3 linked regions of the Sus scrofa genome follow. The protein of the gene in region 3 purifies or fractionates together with the protein of the main gene of each other region. This does not show direct contact. Links are inferred from orthologs where the notes say so. Each region holds a gene or a part of one and is shown on either strand. Other genes may lie near its edges.

Region 1 (4,968 bases), on a different chromosome or scaffold from region 3:
GTCTGTTTTCTTCTATAAAACGGAAGGGTGAAGAGTACTGGCCTGTGGGAGTCACAAGTACTTTCAGAAAATCTGGGGTAGGGTCCAAGAATTTGCACCTCTAACATGTTCCCAAGGAAGCAATGCTGTTGGTCCAAGAGCCACGCATTTTTTTTTGTTTGGGGTTTTTGGGGTGACATCCGGGTCACGTGGAAGTTCTCAGGCCAAGGACTGAACCTGTGCCACAGTGGCGACCCAAGCCACTGCCGTGACAATGCTGGATCCCCAACCACTGTGCTACAAGAGAATTCCCAAGAGCCACACGTTAAGGATCAACACACTAAAGCTAACCAGGCAATTCACTTCCAAAAAGAAAGGAAAAAAAAAGCACCCCGCCCACAAAAAGGAGTCTGTGTGTTTACTAAAATACAGGTATAAGAAAATTCACAGTGGTTTTATTCACACTAACTGGAAATAAACCAAATGTCCACTGTCCGACTAGATAAATTGTGCTATATGTATACACAAGACTACATAGCAATGAAAAAGAACCACCACTTCACACAATCTGGGGATGTCTCTTACCTAATGCTTAAAGCAAGACAATACCTACACTCAACTGTGTACCTCGTGTATGATGCTATTTCTAAGTTCAAGAACAAGCAAAATTAACTGGTGGTGATAAGATTCAGAACAGGGGTTATCTGGTGGGGTAGAGGAATAACTGGCTAGGAGGACATAGGAGATTAAGCTTGAGGATGTTAAGTATTCTGTACCTTGATCTGAGCAGTATATACACGTAAGACTTCAAGCTCATGAGTGGCAGATTTAAGAACTGTATTACCTATCACACATCCATAAGTAATTCTAAAAGTAAAATAAATCAAATATAAGGGGACAACGAACTCACTACATTCATATCCTTTAGGAGCTATTATTATACAAACTGGATTTCCAAAGGAGGCATGGCGCCTAAGAGGACCATACCAAACGTAGATTCAGAACATGAAGAGCTATCCGGCCGACATTAGGAATTGTGGACAAAGTTCTGTGTCTCTAGTAACCTGACTCTGACACGGATCCCAGAAGCATCACTAGGAAACATCACAGCACAACAGAGTCATCAGCCACTCTGAAGGTCTTCATATCCAGACCCAAAAAACATACTCCAACCTAAAAGGCCCCACAGGACCTAGGCCTTCATTTCCTCCCCACCTCATCTCTTACTTCTCTTTCATCCCCCTCCAACTAAATGGCCTTCCTGCTGCTCCTTGTGCAGGCCAACTTCACGCCTACCTCAGGATCTTGAAACCGGCTCCTCTTCCTGCCTGAAATCATCTTTCTCCAGAGCTTCCAAGCTCACTCCCTCAGGCCTCAGCTCAGATGTCACCTCCTCAACCAACCATGTGGCAGATTTCTTTTAGAAGTCACGGTGAGGAAAAGGTTTTCCTGCCTCAAACTGCTCACCTTCCATGTGGTGGATCACAACTGCGAACCAAGGTTCCCTCTTGAGCTTCCAAGCAAGAGACACCTGGCTAAACTTTGGGACCCACTGCATCACGTATTCTTAATGTGGGCTCCCTTTATTAGTTTCAATCATGACTTCACTCTTGTTTTTTGCTTTCCTTTACACCTTTATAGCCTTTCATTGCACACAGAATGCCCACCAAGTCAGTTAAACATCGAACTAAGACTTTAACCCACAGCAATCAGTTCCTTGCACACAACAAAAACCCCAAGAAATTGTTTTGAGGAAGAAGCAAATGAGTGAATAATGAACAGTGACAGGACATCTGGAAATTTTCAGGCACACACAGGAAAGGTTTTTGTTCCAGTAGCGAGTTCATACAGGCACTTAGCACAGAGCCTGGTACATTAAAATGGCAAGGATGACTTAGTCAAGCGAAAAGCCGAGTTAACAAATATCAAGCCTAAAATTTCCTTTTTGTCCCTAATGCCATTAAAAACAAACAAAAAAAACCAGGCCCTTTCAGGCCAACTATGAAAGTCAACCACATTCCCAAGAAAGAAGGCAGGTTTTACTGAGACGCTCCGAGGATGCAGGAACCGTCTAGGAGAGGGAGGTAGCAAGAACTGGGATCTGGAGTGACTGGGCCGCTGATGGACAGAGAAAAGAGGCGGGGGTTTTCAATATCAAGACTGAGACACAAGACAAGCAGCAGCCCCGGCCCCGGGAAAACAGTGCTGCGAAGAGGCGGGGTGGGCCAGAACCCAACGCGGCCCCCCCGTTGCCCACAGCAAAGTGAAGGAAGCTGGACCAGCTCGCTCACCTCTAACGCCGCCTGGGGGTCCTCTTCGATCAGAGCATCTGAGAAGCTCCGGAAAAACCTGCCAGGAAAACAACGACTTCAGCAGGGCGCACTAACCAAGGAAAACAGAGGATGCTGGGTACTAATAAATAGCAAAGAAAAGGTAAAACACGCACCTTTGGGCCGTTGCAGGTCCCGCTGCAGCCGCCGCCATCCCTACTGGTCACTGTTACCGCTGCTGGAGCCGCTCCTACCGAGGTTACCAGTCCGCCGCCGCCCAAGGGGGAAACTTCTGGAGAAACACCAACCGAGCTTCCGTCCTAAGGAGCCAACGAGCAGCCACGCAGCGTGCCGCGGGGGGGGGGGGGGGGAGGGGAGGCGAAGCGCGGGCGCGGGGTGGGCTGGGACCGTGGAGGACCGACTCTCCCGGCCCGCCCCCTGGCCGGAGACCAGCCCCGCAGGCTCCGCCCCCTGCAGCCTCGGTTACGGAGGCCGCGGTGGTTCACGCTAGCCCTCCGTCCCGCTGCGCGCCCACAGTCCCGTGGAGCCTCCGGAGCGCTAGCTTGAAAGGAGTTTTGTACCATACTGTTCTCCTTCGGGAACGTGTGGACTTTGGGGGAGTTTATATGTCTGTTAATAACACAAAGCACATCGAGCTCCGTTTTTCCCTACAGCGCTCATCATGGCTCTTGGAAGCAACCGAGCCCTTTGTGACCCGTGACGTCATCCCGCGCTACGTGTTCTTTTCCGGGAGCGAGTTCCGGATGGCGCGGCGCATTGGTGGGTGCCGGCATCTTGGCGCTGGGAACCCTGAAGGCCGCGGACTTTCCGGAAGTCGTTCTGCCTCTGCGGAGGGTAGAGCAGAGGAAGCCTTTTGGTTCCGGGGCGGGTGGACTGTTCCATGGGCCCCAGGACTCCGCAGACCTAAGGTTGTCTTCCTCGTTGGCTTCCCAGACTAAGAAGAAAAACGTACTCCATCCGAAGGCATTGAAAGGAGAAATGGACCCTCAAGTTGTCTTGGTGTTACTTTACACCTAGTCGGACAGGCCCCCTCCCACTTTTGACCCATGCAGTTTAGATAGACGAAACTTCCAGCAGGTTCCACGGACCGGAGTCCGGGAGCAAGAGGGAGTGGGAGTGAATGGTTGGTTCCTCAGTAGAGATGAAGGAATAACTGAAGTTGAGTGTCTACTACATCCAAAATCTAAACTAAGTCCTGGGATTCAGTGGTGGTAATGCCCCCCAGAAACTTAAGTCAATTTAGTTCTAAGTGCTAAAAGGAAAGAAAGACAGTAGTCAGTGATGTGGTAACAAGGGGCTTTTAGCCGCCCATAAGGTCTAGGGATGGAATCCTCAAACACTTTGTACTCGAGCTTCAGTTTGGAAAGACGAATCAGTGAAGGAAATGAAAAAAGCAATTCAGACGGAATAGGATGAATGCTAGCAAGTGATAATGTGAACTCTAAAATTGATAGAGCCAAAATTCAGGCTAGAAGCAGAGAGGGCAGGGAGGTAGGTTATGTGCCAGGTCATAAAGGACTAGTTGTGGTCCGTTGAGAAGTTGGGATGAGCTTCTCTGAAGGATCCTAACCCATTATAAGATTTTTACTCAAAAGAAGGCTGTACTAGTGAAATTTACATTTTAAATGTTTATTATCTGTGCTATCAAAGAATAAAGGAAAAGAACAGTCATTGGGGAGTTCCTGTTGTGGTGCAGCAGAAACGGATCCAACTAGGATCCATGAAGATACTGATTCAGCCCCTGGCCTCACTCAGATAAGGAAACAGCTTTGCGGTGAGCTGTGGTGTAGGCTGGCTGCTATAGCTCCGATTGATTTGACCCCTGGCCTGGGAACTTCCATATGCCAAGGGTGCAGTCCTAAAAAGAAAAAAAAAAAGGAAAGAAAGAAAAAAGAACAGTTGGAAGACAACTGCTGTATTACAAGCCAAAGTGACTCTTATAAATAGGTCTGTAACAATAGGGATGGAGGGGATGGTAAGAATTGCAGAAATAACTAAGAAAAAACTGGGTTTGCTGATCTTTCCTTTTGTTTTGCTTCTTTTTAGGGTATATGGAAATTTCCAGGCTAGGGGTTATCAGAGCTGCAGCTGCCGGCCTATGCCACAGCCGCAGCAATGCCAGATCTGAGCTGCATCTGCGACCTACACCACAGTTCACGAGATGCTGGATCCTTAACCCACTGAGTGAGGCCAGGGATCAAACTCGCATCCTCATTAATACTAGTCAGGATCCTTACCGCTGAGCCACCACCAGAACTCTTGAGCTTTCCTTTTGTGATCAGTTCTTTTTGCATCTAGTATAAGGCTTTGCCTACTCAAAAGCCATGAACAGAGTCACCTGTGTTTTCTTCTAGATGCTTTACTATCATACTTTTCATGTCCAGGTCTATTAATTTTTATAAAATGTATGAGGTTGGGATTAAGGTTCCTTTTCCCCCTAAATGGATATCCCAGCCCTACATACTGAAAAGATTTATTTGCCATTCCCCCCACTAAATAATTATGGCACTTTTGTTATAAAGTAGTTGATCACACATATGTGGGTCTGTTTCCAGGTTCTCATTCCCTTGGTCTAAACTGGTACCACACCATTAATTGATTAACTTTATGAGCCTTTTTTTTTTTTTTTTTGCTTTTTTGGCCGCACCTGTAGCATATGAAAGTTCCCAGGCTAGAGTTCAAAAAAGAGCTGCAGCTT
Region 2 (4,391 bases), on a different chromosome or scaffold from region 3:
TTTTCTTTTTTTTGTTTTTTAAACCACTCATCTGTGGTGATAGGTTGCAGTTGAGAAAGAGAAGAGGGGGAGAGGGAGGGAGAGAGAAAGGGTAAGAGAGAGAAAGAGGCAGGGATACTATATGGTAATTAACTTTTTGAAAGCAAAGTTATAAAACAATTAGAAAACTTAACACATTAATTTTATATTAACTATCACTCATGTTTAAGGATAGACTAGTATATACATGTATTTTATGCATTCATGCAAAATTTTTTTGGATAGTTCGAGGTTATGCATTTCATCTGTGAGTTTTTTCAAATTGTCACAAATCTCCAGTGTGTTTGTTGAAAAAATTCTGCATGTAAGATACCCATGCAGTTCAAACCTGTGTTGTTCAAGGGTCAGCTGTACATCAGAGTGTTGGAGATCTGTGGTCTGAATCAATGATCCTGGTGTGGTTGGCAAAAGACAAGTGAAATTTATACTATTTCATTGGGGAAACCAATTTTTTTTTTTTTTGCTTTTCAGGGCCACACCCATGGCATATGGAAGTTCCCAGGCTAGGGGTCCACTTGGATCTACAGCTGCCAGCCTATACCGCAGCCACAGCCATGCTGGATCCTTAACCCACTGAGTGAGGCCAGGGCTTGAACCTGCAACCTCATGGTTCCTAGTCGGATTCATTTCTGCTGTGCCATGGCAGGGAAAATAACTTTAATTATTTAATTTAAAAAATCAGCCTGCTTCAGTTATAAAGGCTGTTAAAGTTCAAAATGTTAGTAAGAGAAGCTTTTCTATGCAGTTTGAGGTCATCCTATATTATAATTCAGTGGTAGTACTGATACTACTAGAGCTTGATGTCACTTTTTGTGTTTTAAAGGATAAAATGAAAAGTCCACGAGTAGCCCTTTCAGCTGCAACACAGAAGTCTCTTGATAGGAAGAAGTACATGAAGTAAGTTTCTTTCATGTCTTGTCACATATTAATTATTATCAAAGCCAATAAATTTTAATCATCTGTTGGTTTGTATATTCAGATTAGAAATAATTTTTTCTGCAGCTGAGGTGATAGAAATCCCTTTATATAAATAATTTTATTCAGATCTGGTGGTAAAATCTGATCTTTACTAACTAACTAATAAATTTGTCCGTGTTCAACTTGTGTAATTGATAGCTAATCAAATCATCTTTAAAATAGTTAATCTTTCAGTGTTAATTTTCTATCTTTTAAATATACTCTTTTTCTAATACCTAAAGACTTCGTGAAGGGAAAAGCTTAATGCAAAGAATATCCTGAAAGTATCCTATTAAAACTCTTCTTTCTTGAAATTTGTCTTTAGTGTGCCTATCATAAGGTCCTTCAGTAGTATACCAACTTTGAAATGGCGATTGTTTCTGATCCTGTATCGCATTTGTAATCATGTTTCTCCCCTTTCTAAATACATTATTTGTGTGTCCTTATTTTTATATTGTGTTAGAGCTGCAGAAATGGGAATGCCAAATAAGAAATTTCTGGTTAAGCAAAATCCTTCTGAAACAAGGTGAGAAAAAAATCACTTAGTCTTGGTGAGAGGCTATTTTTCAGTTTTTTTTTTTTAATTGATTGATTGATATTTGCTTTTTAGGGCCGCTACACCTGTGGCATATGGATGTTCCCAGGCTAGATGGTGGAATTGGAGCTGTAGCTGTCAGCCTACACCACACTGAGCGAGGCCTTGGATCAAAACCGCATGCTCATGGATACTAGTCAGATTCTTTTTTGCTGTGCCACAACCAGAACTCCTATTTTTCAATTTTTAAGGAAAGAAAATTTTATAAATCCTGAGCTTGCTTTTCTACAGTAAATCAGTAAATCTCTCATCAGTTCATCAGTCAGTCTCTCCCTGCTGAGTTGGGGGGTTGCAGAGTCAGAACATAGTAACACCTGGTCAGGTACCTGGTCATGTGTCAGACCAGATGTTCCTGGAGCTTTTAGTCAGACATGCATCTCTGATGGAAATTTGAGCCCCATATGTCCTGAGTTCAGTCCGTGGTCCGAGAGGACTTTGATACTTTTTTGTTTTTTGTTTTTGCTTTTTAGGGCCGCCACACCTACAGCATATGGAAGTTCCCAGGCTAGGGGTCAAATTGGAGCTACAGCTGCTGGCCTACACCACAGCCACAGCAACGCCAGATCTGAGCTGTATCTGAGACCTACACCACAGCTCACGGCAACGCTGATACCCCACCCACTGAATGAGGCCAGGGATCGAACTTGTGTCCTCAAGGATACCGGTCGCATTCGTTTCCACTGTGCCACATTGGGAAATCTGATACTTATTTAAAAAACTTAGAAAGCTAGCTTAATATTTCTGACCTGTTTTTTGCAGTTACAAGAGCGATATTCTGTCTCTCAGATGTTTGCAAAGGTTTTGTAAAGTATATAAGTAACTTATCTAAAAGCACAAGGATTAATACTTGCTAGACATCTCTTTCCTGATGAAAAACTAAGGTTTGGGCTTTTGGTGAGCAAATTAAGTACCATATTAATACTCTGTAATCGACTTGCTTTGCCTGGTGCTAGTGTATAGGCCAAATCATTTAATAGATGCCTTCTACCCGAGTGTTATCATCTTTTATCTATTGAAAGAAAATGGGGAAAAACTGAATTTATCCTATCAAATTAATTTTTTATATGCTTTGTCAACAGAGTCCTTCAGCCAAATCAAGGACAGAATGCACCTGTTCATAGGCTACTGAGTAGACAAGGGTAAGAATGCAACACACATGGGTACTTAAAAAATATATTCAAATCAAGATTAGCTTTGAGAGGGAAAAATAATTTTGTGCTTTTTAGATAAAGGATAACTTTTCAAATGTGATCTTTTTATTACATTAGCAGAGCTTATAAAGTTTTGTGCAAAGATAACCCTTTGGGTGTACTGTTGTGTATTATATTTTAATTGTCATCTTATGTTGGCTTGTTTTTACTTTTCATTTCATACCATTTGCTCATTAAATATTATAAGCATTCACATAGTAAGTTCATCATCACCAAAGCGATTCTCCAGTAAAGCGTAAGCCATGGTTATAGTCTCCTGCTGAAGCAAAAGCATAGCTCCCTTCCTGTGCGTGTGCATGAGACTTAAATTCTTTTCAAGCTTATTGTGCTTTGAACAGTTGATGCCGTGTGGTTGCTTTCTTTGAATGTTGAACATTTAGACCTTAATGCAAGTGACTTATTAATTTTTTTATATTCAATTAGAACCCCTAAGACATCAGTGAAGGGGGTTGTGCAAAATAGACAGAAGTCTTCACAGAGCAGAATGCCTAACAGAGCGCCTGTTTCAGGTGTGTAGCAAACAAGTTCCTGAAGCCCATTCAATAGAAAGACGTGCACAAGCCGCCCCATGACACAGGCCACACCAGCGGGATCCAGTGTCTTTCCTTGCCACCATAATTTTGGCATATTCACAGTCATTCCTCCTAGTGATCATTTGTGTTAGTGTTTTGTGGCAGTCAGGAAATCTTAGTGAAGCTGTAGCCCCAATTCTGATTTCTGTAACAAATTATGAAAAATCTGTAGAATTACACAAACTTAATTCAGAGAAGTTTTTGTAAATGAGTAAAATATAACCATCTGATGTCTGCATCTGTGCATGTTTATTCAGCTTTGGGAAAGTGTATCACCCGGGAATATTTGTACCTGCACATAAGGGGAAAAATTCCTCCCTCTGACCACAAGATCACATGTGAATATGCCCGGTGGGAGGGGGTGAAGTCAGTCTTCTGCTCCATAAGAAGCTTGAGCTAAATCTTTATGTTCATTATTTGAGAATTAGTTAAGAGCTAAACTAAAACTATTTTAAAATTATATTTATGGTGGCAAGAAGACAAATTCAGTCTTGAGCTAATGCAAAACTGAAGCTAATGTTTTAATATTTTTTAGATATTTTTGTTAAGACTGTATGATAAACTCACCAGAAATGATGTGATCCATTAAAAATATTTTTAAAATGCTTTGCTTTAACTATACTGCTTTCTAAACTTTTAAAAGAAACCTAATCACCAGACAGTGAAGATTAAGTCTTTAATCAATTCTTATCTTCCCATTAGTATATAATTTATTAATAAAAACTCTCATATTTTAGAGCTTTTATTATTAAGTGATTTCCTTCAAATTAGGAGGTAACAGGCAATATATATTTTTTCATGTTATTACCAGTACTTCACATAGGTTCAAAAAGGGTACAAGACATTGATCACAACTTTGAATTGCTTGCTGACCTTCTGAATATATATAGTGAATTAATTCATAATGTTGAATTCATAGAGGATAATTGGTCATCTTTGGGAATTCACTGCTTATTCCAGAGGTGGAATCAACTGGTTTGAAAGATAACTGTTTGGGAGAACTCAGACCAAACACTA
Region 3 (5,112 bases):
TCACATGGCCAAACATTCCCAAATATACATATCCAGTTTGTACTTTTCATATACATTGTCTAAATACTCTTCAGCATAACTATTAGTTCTTGCTGTTTCTAAGCAGTGGAAAACACAGAAAAAGCTAAGCAATCAGACCTACTCCAACTACTACTAAAAGAAAACATTTTTAATACAGCAACTACTTGAGAATGTAAGCTTCATAATAATGGAGTCCTTACACTGACTTCATCAAAATCTAGAACAGTGCCAGACACACAAGAAGGGACCAATAAACATTTGCTGAATGAATAAATCAATGAAATCTGTACCCTCACCATAAAATAAAAAGTTATCTCAACAATGTAATACAGGAGTTTCTGTTGTGGCGCAACAGAAACAAATCCAACTAGGAAGCATGAGGTTTCAGGTCCAATCCCTGGACTTGCTCAGTGGGTTAAGGATCCAGTGTTGCTGTGAGCTGTGGTATAGGTTGCAGATGCAGCTCGAATCTGGTGTTGCTGTGGCTGTGGTGTAGGCCAGCGGCAACAGCTCTGATTAGACCCCTAACCTGGGAACCTCCATATGCCATGAGTGTGGTCCTAAAAAGACAAAAAAAAAAAGTAGTATTTTTCCAACCTGTTTTCTTTTTTTTGCTTTTATTTAATGATTTTTATTTTTTTCCATTATAGCTGGTTTAGTGTTCTGTCAATTTTTCACTGTACAGCAAGGTGACCCAGTCACACATACATATATACATTCTTTTTTCTCACATTATCATGCACTATCATAAGTGACTAAACATAGTTCCCAATGCCCAACCTGTTTTTTTAACAAATGCTTTTTTTTTCCTAGTCTACTTTAAATGTAGCAAATATATATTCATCTTCAGAAGTTTAAAAATCATTCTGCAAAGGAGTTCCCATCGTGGCTCAGTGGTTAACAAATCCGACTAGGAACCACTGTGGGTTTGATCCCTGGCCTTGCTCAGTGGGTTAAGGATCCGTTGCCGTGAGTTGTGGTATGGGTTGCAGACGCAGCTCAGATCCCATGTTGCTCTGGCTGCGTTGTAGGCCGGCAGCTACAGCTCCGATTGGACCCCTAGCCTGGGAACCTCCACATGCCGTGGGAGCGGCCCTAGAAAAGGTAAAAAGACAAAAAAAAAAAAAAAATTATGTAATAAGCATGTCATGTAAAAATTTTTTATTTTTCATTAAATTATTTTATTTACTAAATAAATTTATTACAGTTACTAATATTTTTTTAAATGTAAGGCAACATTTACTGCTTTCCAGGCTTGCAGAGTTACTTTTTGTTATATGATTGTTTCATTTTCTGTAAGAATAAGCTAGTCATGTAACTATTTTCTCCACATAGCAATACCTACCTGTATTAATCGTTTGTATTTCTCAAGATTTTCTAATTTAATAATCTGATTTTTATCCAGAATCAAAGTATGAATATCAACTTCACAGGGTAAGTTTGGACTTAATTTCTGTAGCCCCTGCCCTGACCAATTGACCACTGATCCTTGAAAAGAGAAGAGAAACTGTTAGAAAACACAAATACAAGAGCTGAGCATAGGGATAAAATTATACTCATAAAATCTTACACATTTAGAGTTAGAAAACACCAGAGCATAATAAATATCGTTGAAAAACTAAAACAAATGATTTCTCAATGACTGTAGACTGAAATTATTCACTTTCCCTCAGAAATATCAAATCATATCTAGATCTGTGATACTCAAGTTTCTATATTTGGGAATTCTTCACATTTAAATGGGAACTATCACTTCTCTATTCTGTACCTAAATAATGACAGTATTTTTAAAATGTAACTAATCTTTTGATAGAGACCAACCTGCTTACAACCTACCAGTATATCCTAAAGTGCTCAAACTATTTTGAAAATAAAAGTAAATTTATCTACAGGATGGTAATAATATACCTAATTCATTAAATTGATGTGAAGATGAAAGGAGAAACCATATGAACAGTATTTAGCCTCATTCCTGGTACACAATATTCAATAAAATAATTTAGTATATATAACGGACCTTCAGATCCTAGCTCCCCTAGCTAAATACTGTGATATCCTGGGCAAGTTACTGATATCTTTTGGGCTCGCTCTTCTACTCTATAAAATAGGGATGATAATAATACCTGGCTTATAATGTTTGGGGTTTTTTTAATATAATGATTTTTATTTTTTTTCCATTATAGCTGGTTCTGGCTTATAACCTTCCACAGAGAAAATGAGATAATGTTTAAAAAAAAAAAAAAGGCACTCAGAACATAGTCTGGCTCATTTAAAAAGTGCTCTATAAATGTTACTATTATGATTATCAGTAAACTGCCATGGTGGGCTGGTGAGGGGAATTTAAGAGATGCAGATATCAGAGGGTGGAAGGGCCAGAGAAACTACCAATATCAAATTATACCCAGATTAAGATTACTGAGGGAAATAACTATACAAGGTTGCTCTCCTGAAGAGTTGCAACGTTTTTCCATTGTCTAATGGTTTCTAGCATTTGGGGGAAGGTAGGAGAGGAAGTGTCATTCCGTTCTGAGAATTTAGTGAAAGCTATATACCGTCCCAGAAAAATGAATAGCTTTTGCACACAATTCAAAGGGCCGAAAGACCTCTTAGAACCTCCCTCCCAAATAAGGCCCTGATCTGGGCGGTGGAGACTAGTCTCGACCCTCCAACCTGCCCCCGACCCAGAGCCTCAGCTGTAACCAAAACAAAGAAGCTGGCTCACGCAGCACCTACGGAATCACCCACGCCCCGCGCTCTCCTCAGCAGCCACCAAACCAGGTCCCAGGACCACATATACAGAACAAGGGGTGGAGAACTGTGGGCTCTGAATAACCCCCAGATTTTATCACGGCCACGAGACACTTCCCAAGAAAAGGTCCAACGTCAATCTAGGGAGCTGTGTTAGAGATTTTTCTTGAAAATTTTAGGGATCCAAGGGAAAGGGGGGACTCTGCAGTTTTCACTTGGGAACCCAGAACTCAAAGTAAACATCCAAGAAAGGTCATCGCGGCCAGAAACCCATCATCCAAGCATCCTCAGCAGCGCGGGACCCGCGGCGTCCAGTAGCGCGAAGGTCCCTGGGGGCTTGTAGTCCCCCCACTTGGCCCTAGCCGCGACACTGGAGAGCCAGGCAGCGCCCAGGAGACTACAACTCCCAGAGGGTAGCGCGCCTCGGCGATGCCCGCAGCCCCGCATCAAAAGAACTGGACAAGAACTGCACCCCTATACCCAGTCTTATTCCTTCCGTCAAGCAACTATTTAATTCAGTTCCATGGAGTAAACCTGGGGACACAGAGGTGACGGTCGCCTTACCTTCTCCAGGAGGCAAAGCCGCGTCGATGCGCGCCACCGCCATACTTCCCGCTTGCTAATTACACCAAGCAACCGTCCTCCTGCTGCTCGATGGAGCTTGTAGTCTGGAGGAGGGACACCCCCCCCCGGAACTACAGCTCCCAGGATGCACGGCACCCAAACGGCCCAATTGGCTCCCTACGCCTAATGACGCAAAACGTGTGTTAGAAACTGAGCCGCAGTGGGTTTAGGAATCCTGGTCAACTCGCTTATTTGGCTACAAGCGAACAGATGTTAAATGATAGTTTCACTCCTTTTTGTAGGTGTTTTCGAAATTGGACACTTTTACCATCTGCTACCGAATGCAGATCGCATTTGAAAACTCATTGCTAGAGACTTCCGATAATGGGGGCTGTCCCTTCTTTTGGCAATTCTGAATAAGTTAAAAGCGTTGAATTCCACTACAGGCGATTTTGTTGAGATTAGTCAAAGTAGATATATTTTATTTGAAAATATAGTTAAAGAATGCTGGGATAGAAGTTTTTATAAAGTATTTTTAAATGGTTGTTCCTCCAATATTTAACAGAACTTTAGGCCTGGGAGTATATTTAGTAAGTGTAAACCCAGACTATTTCCAGATTATACAAAATAAGTGTACAGTATACAAAATCAAAAATTACACTGCTTAGCTGGAGGAGAGTAGGTTTATACTTGTGATATAGCTTTATGCGCTAACTAGTGTAAATGTAGCTACGAACTCAGTAAGATTTCAGGGGCTGGAGAAAGAAATGAAAACTAATCTTCAGAAAAGACTTGAAATGGGAACTGAAATGGGCGGCTAACGCTTAAAAGATGGGTAGACTCCGACACTTCAAAGAGAAATGAAAAGACAGCACAGGCTGCAGGTGGAGGCAGGTGATAATGAAGCTGTGCTCACAGGAAGTGAGAGATTAACCTGGTAGCATCCCAGAATGGAGGAGGAGAGCTTTCAGTTTCTACCACTCACTCTTCCATTCCATCTTGCAACTTTTATTCTGAATTTCCCTCTTTCTGAAACAGCAGTATCCAAAATCTCTGATAATTTCTGTTTGGGAAAATCCAGTAACTCACACTTTTAGATTTCCAGGCAATTGATTCTGTGTGCATTCCCCCCTTCCTGGGTCCTCCTCCTACTAATTACACACTGCCTTAACTCTTTTTTTCTTTTTTAATATGTTTCCCACTGATTTGGTCTGAAAACAAATTTCCTAGTTCTGATGAGAGAATAAAGACTAGAAACTTTTACACATGCACCCGCACATTCACTGCAGCTCTGTTCACAACAGCCAAGATATGGAAACAACCCAAACGTCCATCAACAGATGTTTGGATTAAGAAGATGTGGTGTATATATACACCAGCCATAAAAAAGAACAAAATAATGCTATTTGCAGCAACATGGATGGAACTAGAGACTCTCATACTGAGTGAAGTAAGTCAGAAAGAGAAAGACAAATACCATATGATATCACTTATATCTGAACTCTAATATAAGGCACAAATGAACCTTTTCACAGAAAAGAAAATCATGGACTTGTGATTGCCAAGGGGGAGAGAGTGGGATGGATTAGGAACTCGAGGTTAATAGATGCAGATTATTGCCTTTGGAATGGATAAGCAATGAGATCCTGCTATATAGCACTGGGAACTATGTCTACTTACTTATGATGGAGCATGATGATAATGTGAGAAAAAAGAATGTATATATATGTATGTGTGACTGGGTCACCTTGCTGTACAGTGAAAAATTGACAGAACATT

Evidence for each region.
Region 1: the proteins of CEP97 (region 3) and SUGT1 purify together in Homo sapiens (affinity purification with mass spectrometry; 3 studies listed by BioGRID and IntAct, with this or other methods). This does not show direct contact. The link is inferred for Sus scrofa from reciprocal best matches to the Homo sapiens genes CEP97 and SUGT1.
Region 2: the proteins of CEP97 (region 3) and CCP110 purify together in Homo sapiens (co-immunoprecipitation; 10 studies listed by BioGRID and IntAct, with this or other methods). This does not show direct contact. The link is inferred for Sus scrofa from reciprocal best matches to the Homo sapiens genes CEP97 and CCP110.

The regions. Positions count from the first base shown.
Region 1 is NC_010453.5:25,903,606-25,908,573, reverse strand, and holds the start of SUGT1 (protein SGT1 homolog), read right to left. Parts: upstream 3,133-4,968; 5' UTR 2,464-3,132; coding exon 2,426-2,463; intron 2,329-2,425; coding exon 2,271-2,328; intron 1-2,270. UniProt on the Homo sapiens protein: May play a role in ubiquitination and subsequent proteasomal degradation of target proteins.
Region 2 is NC_010445.4:26,163,489-26,167,879, reverse strand, and holds part of CCP110 (centriolar coiled-coil protein of 110 kDa), read left to right. Parts: intron 1-862; coding exon 863-936; intron 937-1,459; coding exon 1,460-1,522; intron 1,523-2,670; coding exon 2,671-2,730; intron 2,731-3,225; coding exon 3,226-3,311; intron 3,312-4,391.
Region 3 is NC_010455.5:157,384,952-157,390,063, forward strand, and holds the start of CEP97 (centrosomal protein of 97 kDa), read right to left. Parts: upstream 3,475-5,112; 5' UTR 3,377-3,474; coding exon 3,334-3,376; intron 1,510-3,333; coding exon 1,367-1,509; intron 1-1,366. UniProt on the Homo sapiens protein: Acts as a key negative regulator of ciliogenesis in collaboration with CCP110 by capping the mother centriole thereby preventing cilia formation. Required for recruitment of CCP110 to the centrosome.